Drosophila melanogaster: one gene and its partner. Changing the gene in region 1 together with any one later gene gives a genetic interaction. Each region holds a gene or a part of one and is shown in the gene's direction. Other genes may lie near its edges.

Region 1 (6,206 bases):
GGGGGCACGCGCTTTAGCCGATCGTGGAACTCGCACATTTGAATCACAGGGAACGCAAACAACATTTCTCTCAAGTGTAGTAACCTCGTTTCGCTCTGCTACTGCAACTGCGACATCATCCACATCCACATCCACATCCACATCCGCATCGACACTTGATAACCAAGAAAACACTGAGCCGTCCACATCGAATGGACGTCGTCCCTGGCGCCCTAGATACGTCTCGCCGCCTAGACACGTGTCGGATAGCGATGACGATAGTGATGAATATGATAGTGATGAATATGAGTCGAAGAGGCGCCAACTTACGCCCACTGCCGCTGCGCCGTCGAATGGCAGGCGTCTGTTGGGCTCCATCTCGCCGGAGCCGAGCACTCCTGCTCCACGTGTCTTACGTCGCCGCACTTTGGCCAACAGGCCTTCCTCACTCGCCAACATGGATATATCCTGTGTGGCCAATAGGACCCGCCACCGCTTGTCCAACCACATGGCCAGCCGCAAGGATTAGGAGAACAGATGACATTACAATAGATCACACTCGCACAAATCCATGTACACGGCAAGATCAATATGGATATATCCTGAGTGGGCAGGATACCCGCAGGGACTAGGAGAACAGATGACAACATCACGATACATAACACTTGCACATTCCATTAACCATCACATCGACTAGGTTGTGGACCAAATGCGTGCGTTTGGTTCGCACCCGTTATTCTCTATTTTCCGCCTTTTGTACATATAAAATTCCATTAAAATCCTGTTCTCCTAGCGGTATTCGCTAATAAGATGCATTTACCATTTATTTGCTTTGTTAAGTAAGCTAAGTAAGTGCTCCTTTCCACACGTATAAATAACTTGTATACATATTTACTTTAAGTAGCTGTAGACATTATTTTCCCCATCTGACTTTCTTTTCAGCAGCTCGCAGTGCCTACATTATTTCAATTACTCTAAGCATTACATTTTTTTGACTAGCGATCTAAGAATCCCTGAATCCAGTATCTGTATCAAGAATCCCAGTATCTGAACGCTAAAATGAAATAAATAAAATTAAAATATTTGAAAAATAAGTTAGAATGATTTTATTTGGATGTTGAAAAAACTTCTCAAAAGTTGTAAACTACGAATACTCACTTTCATTAAGAGTATAGCGTTTTGCTTCTAGTTAATACCCGCTACAAATCGGTATGAAAGTATATAATATTTAGTTTTTTTTTTGGTATTAATATAATATGGGCTTTATAAGTGATTATTTGAAGATTTTTTAAAAATCGCGCCATTCATAATAAATAAGTGCTGGATATGGCCAAAAGTTTATGCACAGGTGGCAACGTTAGCAACCCGCTAAACGGCAACACTTGCGATAATGTTCTCTAAATATATCGATACATATTGATATTAAAAAAAATTGCCAGTATTAATTTATTAAACTAATTTAATTTTTTGAGTGGGCACATTGCATATTTAGTTACAGAAAAATTCGACTTTATGCTCCGGCTAAATGAATCGATGTTTGTGGGGTACTATCTATCCTAAACTATCGATAGCATAAACATCGCATTTGGTTCCGTCTCTAGTGTGGGTGCGTTAGCAATAGTTTATCCAGAATATGAATTAACCAGAATTAATCCGCAACGCCGACGCCCACAAATTCCCACAAATCGTCGTCCTTTCAGCGCTGCAAGAGCAACCCGGAAGCTGGAAAGTTCGAGACCGCCGAGAAGCCCAATATAAATTCAACAGTCAGCCAGAGCTTCACTCCTGTGTGTGTGTGCGTGCGTGCGTATGTGTTCGTGTGTTGTGTCTGTGCTACAGTGTTGGAGAGAGCGAGACGCACGATTGCGAGGGAGTCGAGCTTTGCGAAAATTTGCCAGCCTATATTGAAATATTTTCGGCACCAAATCGCCGTCTTATCCGCCAGCAAGCCATTGGATCTGATGGAAATGAGCCTGCCGCTCGATTTCTCTTCGCAAATCCGCTGTTAAAGCAAAAGCAACAATTGTACCAGTGGAGCCAAAAAAAGAGAAACACACCTACCTAATCAAAGGAAATTAAATAACAAGGCGGCGGCAACAACACTTACATAAATTAACTCGCAACGCAACAACACTAATAACTATAGCTTATCACACAGCAACAAAAACATCAGCAACAGCAGCAAAAACAACAACAACAACAGACCAGCAGCCAGAAAGAACAACAGCTTATCTCAGATATTCAGCCGGCTGCACCAGTGCGAGCGAGAGGGTCGTAGCTTGGGGCGAAAGAGAGGGCGCTTCCGAGAGAGTGCGAAAGAGAGAGAGAGAGAGAGTAAGCGCAGGGAGTGTGCTCCTGTGTGTGTGAGTGTGGGAGCAGGCAGCAGAAAAAAAGAAAACAAAAGTATATTTTGCATTGTTCGACGCGCCTAACTGTAAATATAAAAGCACTTGCAAAAACAAGGAAAAACACAGAAAAACAGCGAAAAAACGTCGAAAAATGGCACGCGGCTTCGATCATCTATTCAAGTTGCTAATAATCGGCGATAGCGGTGAGTTTCCCAGGCATTCCCGTTTCCCACAGACCAGGTGCTTAAAAATAGCATCGAGTTGAAAATAGCAGGTGTAAATTGCAATTTGTCCCCGTTTCCTGGCCAAAAACGCAGTTGTCTCCACCTCCCTTTCGCATTACTGCATCTGATTACCATTAATGTATGTTACATTTAAAATGCTAACGCCAACATGGCGTATGAGTAATGTTGTTTTCAGTTTCCATAATACTTTCAACATTCGTCAGCTTCTTGTTTCTATACTCAATGTTTTTGGCATACTCAACATGTGTTAGGTTGTACTAATTTTATATATTTAATCATAAATGCAAAAGCACTTTATATCAGTCCTGTCCTCCTCCTAACGTAGCTATCTACATATTCATTTGGGCGTATTTCGAGAAAGGTGGTCTGGCTCGGGCAAAACCAGGCTCATGACTAATGGTGACGCACTGGCAGGATATACAGCTTGATATGCGAGCAGACCAGCTGCGGCGGTAACCGGAGCAGGAGAACACTCCCCGCTCCACAGCAATGTCATATGCCGAATGGGCTTACTTGTGTGTAGTAACGATATCACATTTTTGTAATACGAATCCCATTCCATCTTTCCATCTGATCCCCTGCAGGCGTGGGCAAGTCGTCGCTGCTCATCCGGTTCTCGGACGACACATTCTCAGGCAGTTACATCACCACCATCGGCGTGGACTTTAAGATCCGCACCGTGGACATCGAGGGCATGCGCGTAAAGCTGCAGATCTGGGACACGGCCGGGCAGGAGCGCTTCCGGACAATCACCAGCACCTACTACCGCGGCACCCACGGCGTCATTGTCGTCTACGACGTCACGAACGGCGAATCCTTTGCGAACGTCCGCCGCTGGCTGGAGGAGATCCAGAATAACTGCGATGTGGTTAAAAAAGTATTAGGTGAGCCTATATCGTATTACGCACAGAATTGGTTGACCCGTACTGAGAAGTAGTTGTTGGCTATGCCAAGCGGAGCTTAATTAGTAGACAACTTACATTATCGATATAGACTCATGTTTCGATTCCTCAACAGTGGGCAACAAGAACGACGATCCGGACAGGAAGGTGGTCATTACCGAAGACGCGCAGCGGTTTGCGAAACAAATGGACATCGAGCTATTCGAGACATCTGCCAAAGACAACATAAACGTGGAGAACATGTTCTTGTCGATTACGCGACAGGTGCTCGATCACAAGCTGCGCACCTCCCCCAACGAGCAGCAGAAGGACACGCTCCATCTGAAGCCCAATCCCAAGGGCAGCAAGGGTGGGAAGTGCTGCAGGTGAAAGCGGCTCCGGCACGGGAGCTGGCATTGCAACTGGACCGACGGCGACGGCGGCGGCGGCGGCGGCGGCGGGACGGGAATTGGAACTGAAATTAGGACCAGGACCTGGATCAACTTCGGGGGCGGACGGAATCGTTGTGGGGGCGCGTAGTTTGTAGGGTTCTTGGCTTACGATTCGACACAGACACTCACTCACATAGACATAGCTAACACCACCAAACAACCAACAACAAGAAACCACACAAAGCAAACAACACGAGACAACTGAACAACACTCACACCCACTAGAGACAACAATTTTTTTTGTTTTGTTTTTTTTTTTCCTCCTCAGTTTTATTCGGAATAATGCCAGATAGCCGTAAATTAAAGTGTAAAAGTGTAAAGCGCAATTAAATGTATTTAGCAATTTATATACATATTAATATATACATACATAAACAAAATTGAAACAAATTGCATATTTATATACAAGAATATATTTATATTTCAAACGGAAAATTGTATTTACAATAACAAGAGCGACCGCAGGAAAAGGCACGAGGACGCAAACGCCTCGCTCGCTAGCTAAGCTACGAAACACATTTATAGAAATATATAAATATATATACATAGATATACATATGTGGGGAGATCAAATTATTGGCTTCCGATCGCGACTCTCCACTTTTAATACTCCCATAGTTTAAAATTTAAAAACGAAAGCTCTGATCTGCCGACTATCAATCGCGAAAGACACGTTTTGAATGAATCTGAAATTTTATTTGCTTGGAGTGATGCTTTTAAACATTTCGTTGCTCTCGGAAACTGCCTTACTTGTTAAGATTTCATTTGATATTATTGCCGCCATTCCGTGATTGATTTAACTGGATAAACTAAAGAACTTCAGGGACTGTTTCCAATTCTTTTGGATGTGCTTGCTTAAAATGAAAAACCTGAAACTGTCAGCCAATATGATTTCCAATGCAAATTTTCTGAAGAGAAATAGTTGTAGGTAATGTTTGTATCTATTCGAAAACCGGGGAACCAATACTCCAATTCTCTGATATTATATACATACATTACATATGTACCCTCAGAAAGAATAAAGATTGATCTTTGGAAAAACACGATTACTTGCGCTCGGACTGTAATTCAAAACCATGTTTTTAATCCATAGCTATGTTGAATATGTCCAAAATGTAGCCACTTTTCATTTAAGTCCTTAGGCATTGCTGATTTAAAATTAAATAAGATATGATTGGCAATCAACATTTTGTGGCATTCTTTTATGCCACAAATGCATTTAATACATCGCTACATTTGTATTGTATCTAAGTTAAAAACGCACCAAATCGCACTGCAAGCACGTTCGTTATTTTTGGTAAACTTTCCCGATTTTACAATTTTTGTTAGCTTCTAAAAGTAGTTGCATACTCTTCGGCGACTCTATGAAACGAGTGAATAACGTAGTAACGAAGCGCACTAGAATTTATATTTATATGTTCACAATGTACATATGGGTTCGCTTTGTGGTAACCATATTTATTCTGCTTAAAAAACCATTCGATTCATAGATTTATTTTAAATACCACAATAATCGATTTCGGTTCCAGTATATATTTATTTATATGTAAACCTTGAGCTATACCCAAAATTCAAAGACTATGTTATTGCGTTTGAATACCAAAATGAATTACCTAGTTGTGGTTTGGGCTGAAAAAAGCTTTCAGAAAGTGAGGCAAACTCATAGTTAAATACTATTCTCGAATATGAAACCTATATTTCATACCAACCAAAAGAAAACTATATATTTATATAAATGTATATATATATCTATATATATAGATGTATATATTTATCGATCAAAATAAAGAAGGCAATTTGATTTTCTAAAATGTTTGGTCTTTTGCATTTAGCCGTTAAGATTTTGGGTTGGATTTCGGTACTAAGACAATCAGTAATATAATCTTTATATCTTTAAAATGGAATTTTTTCCCTTCTGCAGTATTTGAAAACAATTTGTTTAACTTTTTTATGATGTATTCAGTTGTTTGTGACTTTACGGATCCCAGAAAAATAGCACATTGTTTATGATTATTATTTACTTGTATTATTTATTGTTTTTCAACGCATTTTTTATCGCTTCTGTTGGGGAGAGCACGAGGTTAGGGCAACGACTAGTACGGGAAGTGGGCAGATGCGGATTGGTGCGGATTGGGATGGGGATTGGCTGGGCGGATGGTGACTGGTTTGGCAGGCAGTGCGGCTCCGGGACTATACGACTCCCCATCCCGCCTCAGTGGTACTTGGCCACGGGAAAGGTGCGCGTCTGGCGACAGGACACCAGGGCGTCGCCCGACTGTCCCTGTGGACAGCGGCAGACAG
Region 2 (6,165 bases), on another chromosome or scaffold:
TGAATCCCCGTTTTTTCTTTGGGGATCTGGAGTGAATCACATTAAATCCATGCCCGGGCGCAGCTTTATGGCGAACGAGGCGGGATTAAGGCTGCCCTTGCATGTCCTTAATACTCCTCACCTGACAGCCTTGATGAGTGCCCTTCTAGGAGTCCCACCACCGGTCTATAGCCGCGGAATGCTGCCCAAGGGAATGCTCAACGCCAGTTTGCGCTACGAGGCCAACGCCATGCTGATTAATGCCAAGCAGCTCCTGGCACAGGCTCGCCGGCTGAGGGAACTCCATCCCAAAAGGATGCCCGCCTTCTGGCTAAGCTTTCAGATGATGGACAACTTTGTAAAGGAGTCTTTGGCCCTCAAGAAGCAGCGACGTTTCAGGGCTCTCTTGGATTATAGCTGCAATTACATGCCCGTGCTGATCAAGGGAATGGACTATTTTAAGGATTACTATAGACATGTCTCGATTACGGCAGTGAGTTTTGCTGGAATCGCTTGGATATATTGCCTGCGCTGTCATCTAACAGTTGGTAAAAAGTGCAGAAATCTAATAGAAATCCAGGAGGTAATCTCCTCCAAGCGTTTGGTGTATGCCCGAGGATTTCATCGATTGCTGACAGGTGTGCTCGTGATTATTATGATGCTCGAAAGGATTCCTCTGGTGGTACAGGCGATCCTACTCATACCCTCACTGTACTGGAGGACGACGCTTAAAATTTTGGGAGAGAGACCAAAAATGGTATGCCGTAAGAGTTTGATGTCCACCGCCTTACTGGCATTAATCTGTTTCGGTGGCTTCTTCCGACGCTACATCCTGGCAGTGGGCTACTTGGGATTTGCTTCCTATAACAACAGGGAAGCCTTCAAGAGAAGGGGACACCAGTTCTACCTGTGGCTACTACTGCTCCTTGGACTCACCGTTGTGTCGGCTCTTCCGGAATCGCTGGGCTGTTCCCAGCCCGGAGCCCTCATGTTTAGTATCTTTCTTACTGTACTGCGTCCTTTGGCCTGTGGCGTGTACCTTAACCTTCTCACATGGCTGAGTAATATACCGGTTCTCCTTGCTGCCTTGGAGTACATCCTGATCGGCTGGCATCCGTGGATCATGTACTTGGTATCCTGGATCTATTTGGGATTTCTTGTCCTTTGGCAGCGTCGCAATCTGCAGGCCAGCGAGGTGTTCTTCTTCGACCTGAGCACACTATACACCCTCACCTGCACCTCTTATGAATCGGTGGTCATCCAAATGCTGGCCATGGAGTTACAGCTGGCCTTGCGGATGAAACTGAAGAGAAATGAAAGCATTGGTCCAAAGACAGCCGCCCACTACATACTAGTGTACAGCTGGTACTCCCTTTTCATCATTGGCAGCTTCCCGGCCTTCGATGACTTCCTGGATATCTTGCACGAGACATGTTTTGGATACTCACCTCTCACTTACGGCCTGGTTATGGTGCTGAAGCTAATCCTTCCCTGGCTGCTTGTGCTTTGCATCATGGCGGGAAACTACAAGAGTCTGGCCTCATACGAACAGCAAATCTTTGTGAGACTATTGCTTATGAATAGTGCCATGTCGCTGGTGCTTTTGCATGGGATTACAAATGTTGGTCCTTGGCGGGATATCCTCAGCAGATTCGCTGAGTTTGCGGTAGTCCATGTGTTTCCACTTGTCTGGCTGCTACTGTGGCGATTGACACAGCTTAAAGTGGGCTCCAAGTGGATGTCCCAGCTCCCGAATGAATTACTGTAAGGTCACTGAAATTGTTTTAATAAAGCGAAGAAGGCGCCATAAAACTATTTAAAACTCTGGCAGCCTTTACAAAAAAAGCGTAAACTTGAACGTTGCCACCTGGTTTTTGCTCTACAAAGTATCGATAACTTCAGCGACTATCGCACAGTAGTCGCTTCGTTGCCATCGCCAATCTCGCTCTCCCTTATTTTGCATAGAAAATAAACAAAAAGCTCTGCGGAAATAATGTTTTCACCTTAAAATCCAACACATTTGTGCTGGCGCAAGTGTGGGCTGGAAAATCCAAACGACAAATAAACCCAAAATCGCCTTAAACCTTAATATCGCCTATTGCGCATTCCACGGCAGCAACAATACCAGCAGAGCAGCAGCAACAACAACAACGAGAAGAGCATAGCAAAAGGTGAGGCAAAAAGTTTACATGTGAATGTGGGGGCGGGCGGTGTGGCAACGGTTAGCTGTTAATAACAACAATTGCCCCGTATTGTTCACACATACATACGCACCCACACTTAGGCACTGGTTTACTCATTTTGGAGCGCATAGGCAAAATGGCAGCCAAATGTCAGTTAAGTTAAGAAATGAATGGGCCCAAATAGTTGGGTCTCCAACGCGCCAACCGCCCCCTACCCCAAACGCCCGCCCACCCACTGAAGTGACGCGCCGCTGCCGAGATATGTATGCGATCTTGCTTTATATCACCCGCGACTCGATAAGGGTTCTCGTTTAGTTTCGTTCCGTTTCCCCGTTCCGCGATCCGTAGGCCTCCAAGGTCGCATTTTGTCGGCTATCTTGCAGCCTTTGCTAGATTGCATTTGTGTTCGTGTAGTGCGTTTGCATTGAGATTTCCCCCATTCGCTGATTTGCCACCCTTTCTTAGAGAGGGTATGATGTTTCGGAACTCAACACGGGATTGAAATTATAACAGACACTGATCAGTTACTTCGAATGCAAATTCAAACGAGCTAAACTATTCAGTCTTAAAAATGTTTAAAAGGCTTTAATAGTTTGTAAAAGCATATGATCTTCGACAAATTCTGAAAAGTACTGGGTATCAAAAATCTCGTTTCTACAAATTAATAGCCCTTCTTTCTGGCTTCTTTCGTCTGGCGGTTGCAATTATTTAGCCACTTGTTCTGGCGCAGACACAGTTGCCTCAATTAGTTATTGTTTTTGTGGCGGCCGCTGTGTTGAAGTGAGTTGTTCATTAGGCCAAACTCGAGCATCCGGCGCTGCATGGGGAAGTGGAAGTGCCACCGCCGACAGCCCGTGCCCCACTGTCATTAGGCATGGAAGAATCGCGTGAATATAGAAATACTCGTACTTTCACTGTCCCATTCCGTTTGGAGGCATCTGCTGTGGATGAGTAATTACCGCCTTCCAGCGGTCCGATTAGGGACCAATCAACAGCTGTTTACGGCGCTCTTGGCTTAAATATTGCAGAGTGAACTATTTAGATTTCCGCTCAGTTGGTGGACAATGCCTTTTCTGTATCTTTCGCCGCTGGGCTGCAGTCTGAGCCGACTGGAACTGCTCCACGAAGATGAGGTGTGACCATGAGCCCATCATATTTCATAATCAATTAATAGTTATCACCTCGAAATAGCCCAAATTTATGTTAACCAACCAAGTACTGATAGCGATAACGGTTGGAGATTGCCGAAAATAATGTGGAGCCAGCATCACAATTACGATTTCCTCCCAGCGCGAAGGAGAGCATTAGTCCGCTTAATTGCGCACTTGTTGTTATTCAAGCACAGAGAGGCTCTCGCCCAGATATTTATATCTACGTAGCTGTATCAGGAAATTTGCATTCACAATTAGTGGTTGCTGTTAGTGGGCGTACATGCCGATCGTGTAACGAAATCTGCTTTCAGTTCAAGGTAGTTGCAGCCGGAAAGCTGGCGTTGGCGATGGCCACGGCACCGCGATCCCTGGATACCATCTCCCTCTGCTCGACCGTTTCCAGCTGCCCGGACCGAAATGGCTTCTATGGCGGTTTCCAGCGCACAGACAAGCCAAAGGAGCCGCTGTCCAAGGCACAGATCATCGCGCGGGAGAAGAAGTGGCTCTACATGATCGACAACTGGTCCATTTACATGTCAAAAAACTACAAAAAGGTAATATTGAATTTAATGATTGTTTAAAGAGTGGTGATCTCACTTTTGTGCGAACAAAATCTAAAAGAAGCTCATAGTATTCCTATTAGTATGAGAATTCGACAACAATCTTTACAAAACCTAATGTTTAGTTCTATCATGCAGATCCGAGATCGCTGTCGCAAGGGCATACCCAAGTCGGTGCGACCCAAGGCCTGGTTCTATTTATCGGGGGCGTATCTGCTAAAGAAGAAGAACCCCAACGTTTACAACGAGCTTCTGGAAAAGCCCGGTAACCCGACGACCATCGAAGAGATCAAGAAGGATAAGCATCGCCAGTTCCCGTTCCATGAAATGTTTCTCGACGAGCAGAAGGTCGGACAAATCGAGCTCTTTAATGTGCTAAAGGCCTACTCGATATACAATCCCAAGGTGGGCTTCTGCCAGGCGCAAGCACCGATAGCAGCGTTCCTATTGATGCACCTGCCCGCGGAGGACGCCTTCTGGGTGTTTGTCAGCGTGTGCGATGTGTAAGTCCACCTAAAAGTCATATTTGCGCACTTCTATTTAACGTGTGTATTTCTATAGATACCTGCAGGACTATTTCATACCCGGTTTGGAGGTGATCCAGAACGATGCTGGCATCCTGGAGGGTCTGCTGAAGAAGACATGCCCGCCCGTGTACCGGCACCTGCAGAAGCACAAAGTGGAGCCGCTGCTCTACATGACCGACTGGTTCCTGTGCGCGATGACGCGGACTCTGCCCTGGGAGACACTGCTGCGAGTATGGGATTGCTTTCTAGCCGAAGGCATCCGCGTGATCTTCAAGGTGGCTCTGGTCATTATTGGGGCTTCACTAAGCCGACACAAGGTGCGAAAGACGTGTACTGGTCTCTGCGAGACGTTGGCAGTGCTGCGTTCACCCGAGGAGCATATCGTGGAGGAGGAGTTCATCATCAACAATATGATGCGACTGAATCTGCGCGTAGAGGACTTCCAGATCGAGCACACACGCCAAAAGGCTCGCCGTGCCAAACAGAAGGCACAGCAGGAGGCGGAGTCCAGCGGTTCCGGCAACGGACATCGGCGCAACATGCCAACGCTGTGAGGAACCGCAACTACTACTACTACTTCAACAAATTGTTACTAAACACACAAACAACACACACCATGCATAGTTGCATAAGATTTGTACGTTTAAAGTCGCATAGGAGGCAGGTCGTGCACAAAGTGGAAGCGAGTTGATGCGAGTGACCCCAAAACTGGTTCAGTCAGTTGGTCAGTCAATTACGGAGACATCATTCCATGCAATCAGTTTGCTAATTTTAAGACCATTCTTTTGTTGAGCCCATTCCGGGCTGGACTTGTATCGGTATTTGTTTTCGTATTATTCATTTAGTGGCAATTATTACGAGTGTGCAATTTGTTTATGCTTTTCAAAAGTATTTATTACATATTTATTATTATCGCGTAACATTTAAAACCGTAGCGTTAGCTTTGAGTTGAGGACCCCGAACATATCGTATGATTATCATGATGATTACCACCCTGAGGCAGCTGACACAAGGACTGGAGGATTATATAGTTTGAAACTTTGACTACTTTATCCGTATTAACTCTGAGACGAGAATGTTGATATTTACCTACGATAATGCGTTACGAACGACTTCTGTTGTGCCCCCGAGCCTGAAAAGTTTGGAGATCAGTTTTGTGACTGGTCTAAGGCAAAAATAATATAAAACTTGAATACTAATAAAACAAAATATACCGAAACATTTGTTTTTTGTTGTTGTATAAGTAAAAGCATTCCAGAGAGTTAATTTAGAATTTTAAATGTTTTATTTATTAACATTAATCAAACAGCGCATAAACGCTCACGTGCATAGACCAACTTTTTCGAGACCAATTTCTTATTAGTCGAAGCAGTGGTGCTGAAAATATAATTATAATTTTGATAATATCAGTTACCGTTCATTGAGATTATATCGAAAATAAATAGCTTGGATTCTTAATACTAGCAATTAAAGAGTAGCCTACAGCTAAAAGTCCGTAATCAGAATTAGGCGGTGTCTATGGGTAAACTATACGAATACTCTAATTAATCTCTTGAATATCTGAATCCGTCTGCCACTGGAAGTACACAGGTGTTGTGGAAGTGGATTAGGTTATTTCGACTTGGGTCATAAAAACGGGCTAGCTTAGTGGCAAAACGTAATCTATGTTCGATTCGCAGAACTATTAAAATAAAAAACGAACACGGAATTTAAAAGTGAAATATACTTTCATGGTTTCAGTAAAAGACACTGCATAATACAATAT

Evidence for each region. Genes that interact genetically often act in the same process or in processes that back each other up.
Region 2: of Rab35 (region 1) and wkd, changing one suppresses a phenotype caused by changing the other (phenotypic suppression), as found in Drosophila melanogaster (one study listed by BioGRID).

Annotation. Positions count from the first base shown.
Region 1 is NC_004354.4:20,155,220-20,161,425, reverse strand, and holds Rab35 (Rab35), read left to right. Parts: upstream 1-1,553; 5' UTR 1,554-2,478; coding exon 2,479-2,530; intron 2,531-2,897; exon of another isoform or gene 2,898-3,068; coding exon of another isoform or gene 3,069-3,087; intron 3,088-3,156; coding exon 3,157-3,456; intron 3,457-3,589; coding exon 3,590-3,843; 3' UTR 3,844-5,660; downstream 5,661-6,206. Other genes in the region: Phf7 (PHD finger protein 7), read left to right, coding at 1-508; aspr (asperous), read right to left, coding at 6,118-6,206.
Region 2 is NT_033777.3:11,579,690-11,585,854, forward strand, and holds wkd (whacked), read left to right. Parts: upstream 1-1,886; 5' UTR 1,887-2,150; intron 2,151-3,237; exon of another isoform or gene 3,238-3,295; intron 3,296-3,353; exon of another isoform or gene 3,354-3,624; 5' UTR 3,625-3,660; coding exon 3,661-3,867; intron 3,868-4,011; coding exon 4,012-4,376; intron 4,377-4,434; coding exon 4,435-4,954; 3' UTR 4,955-5,616; downstream 5,617-6,165. Other genes in the region: CG5342 (uncharacterized protein), read left to right, coding at 1-1,747. UniProt on the Drosophila melanogaster protein: Essential for ensuring the polarized growth of tracheal seamless tubes.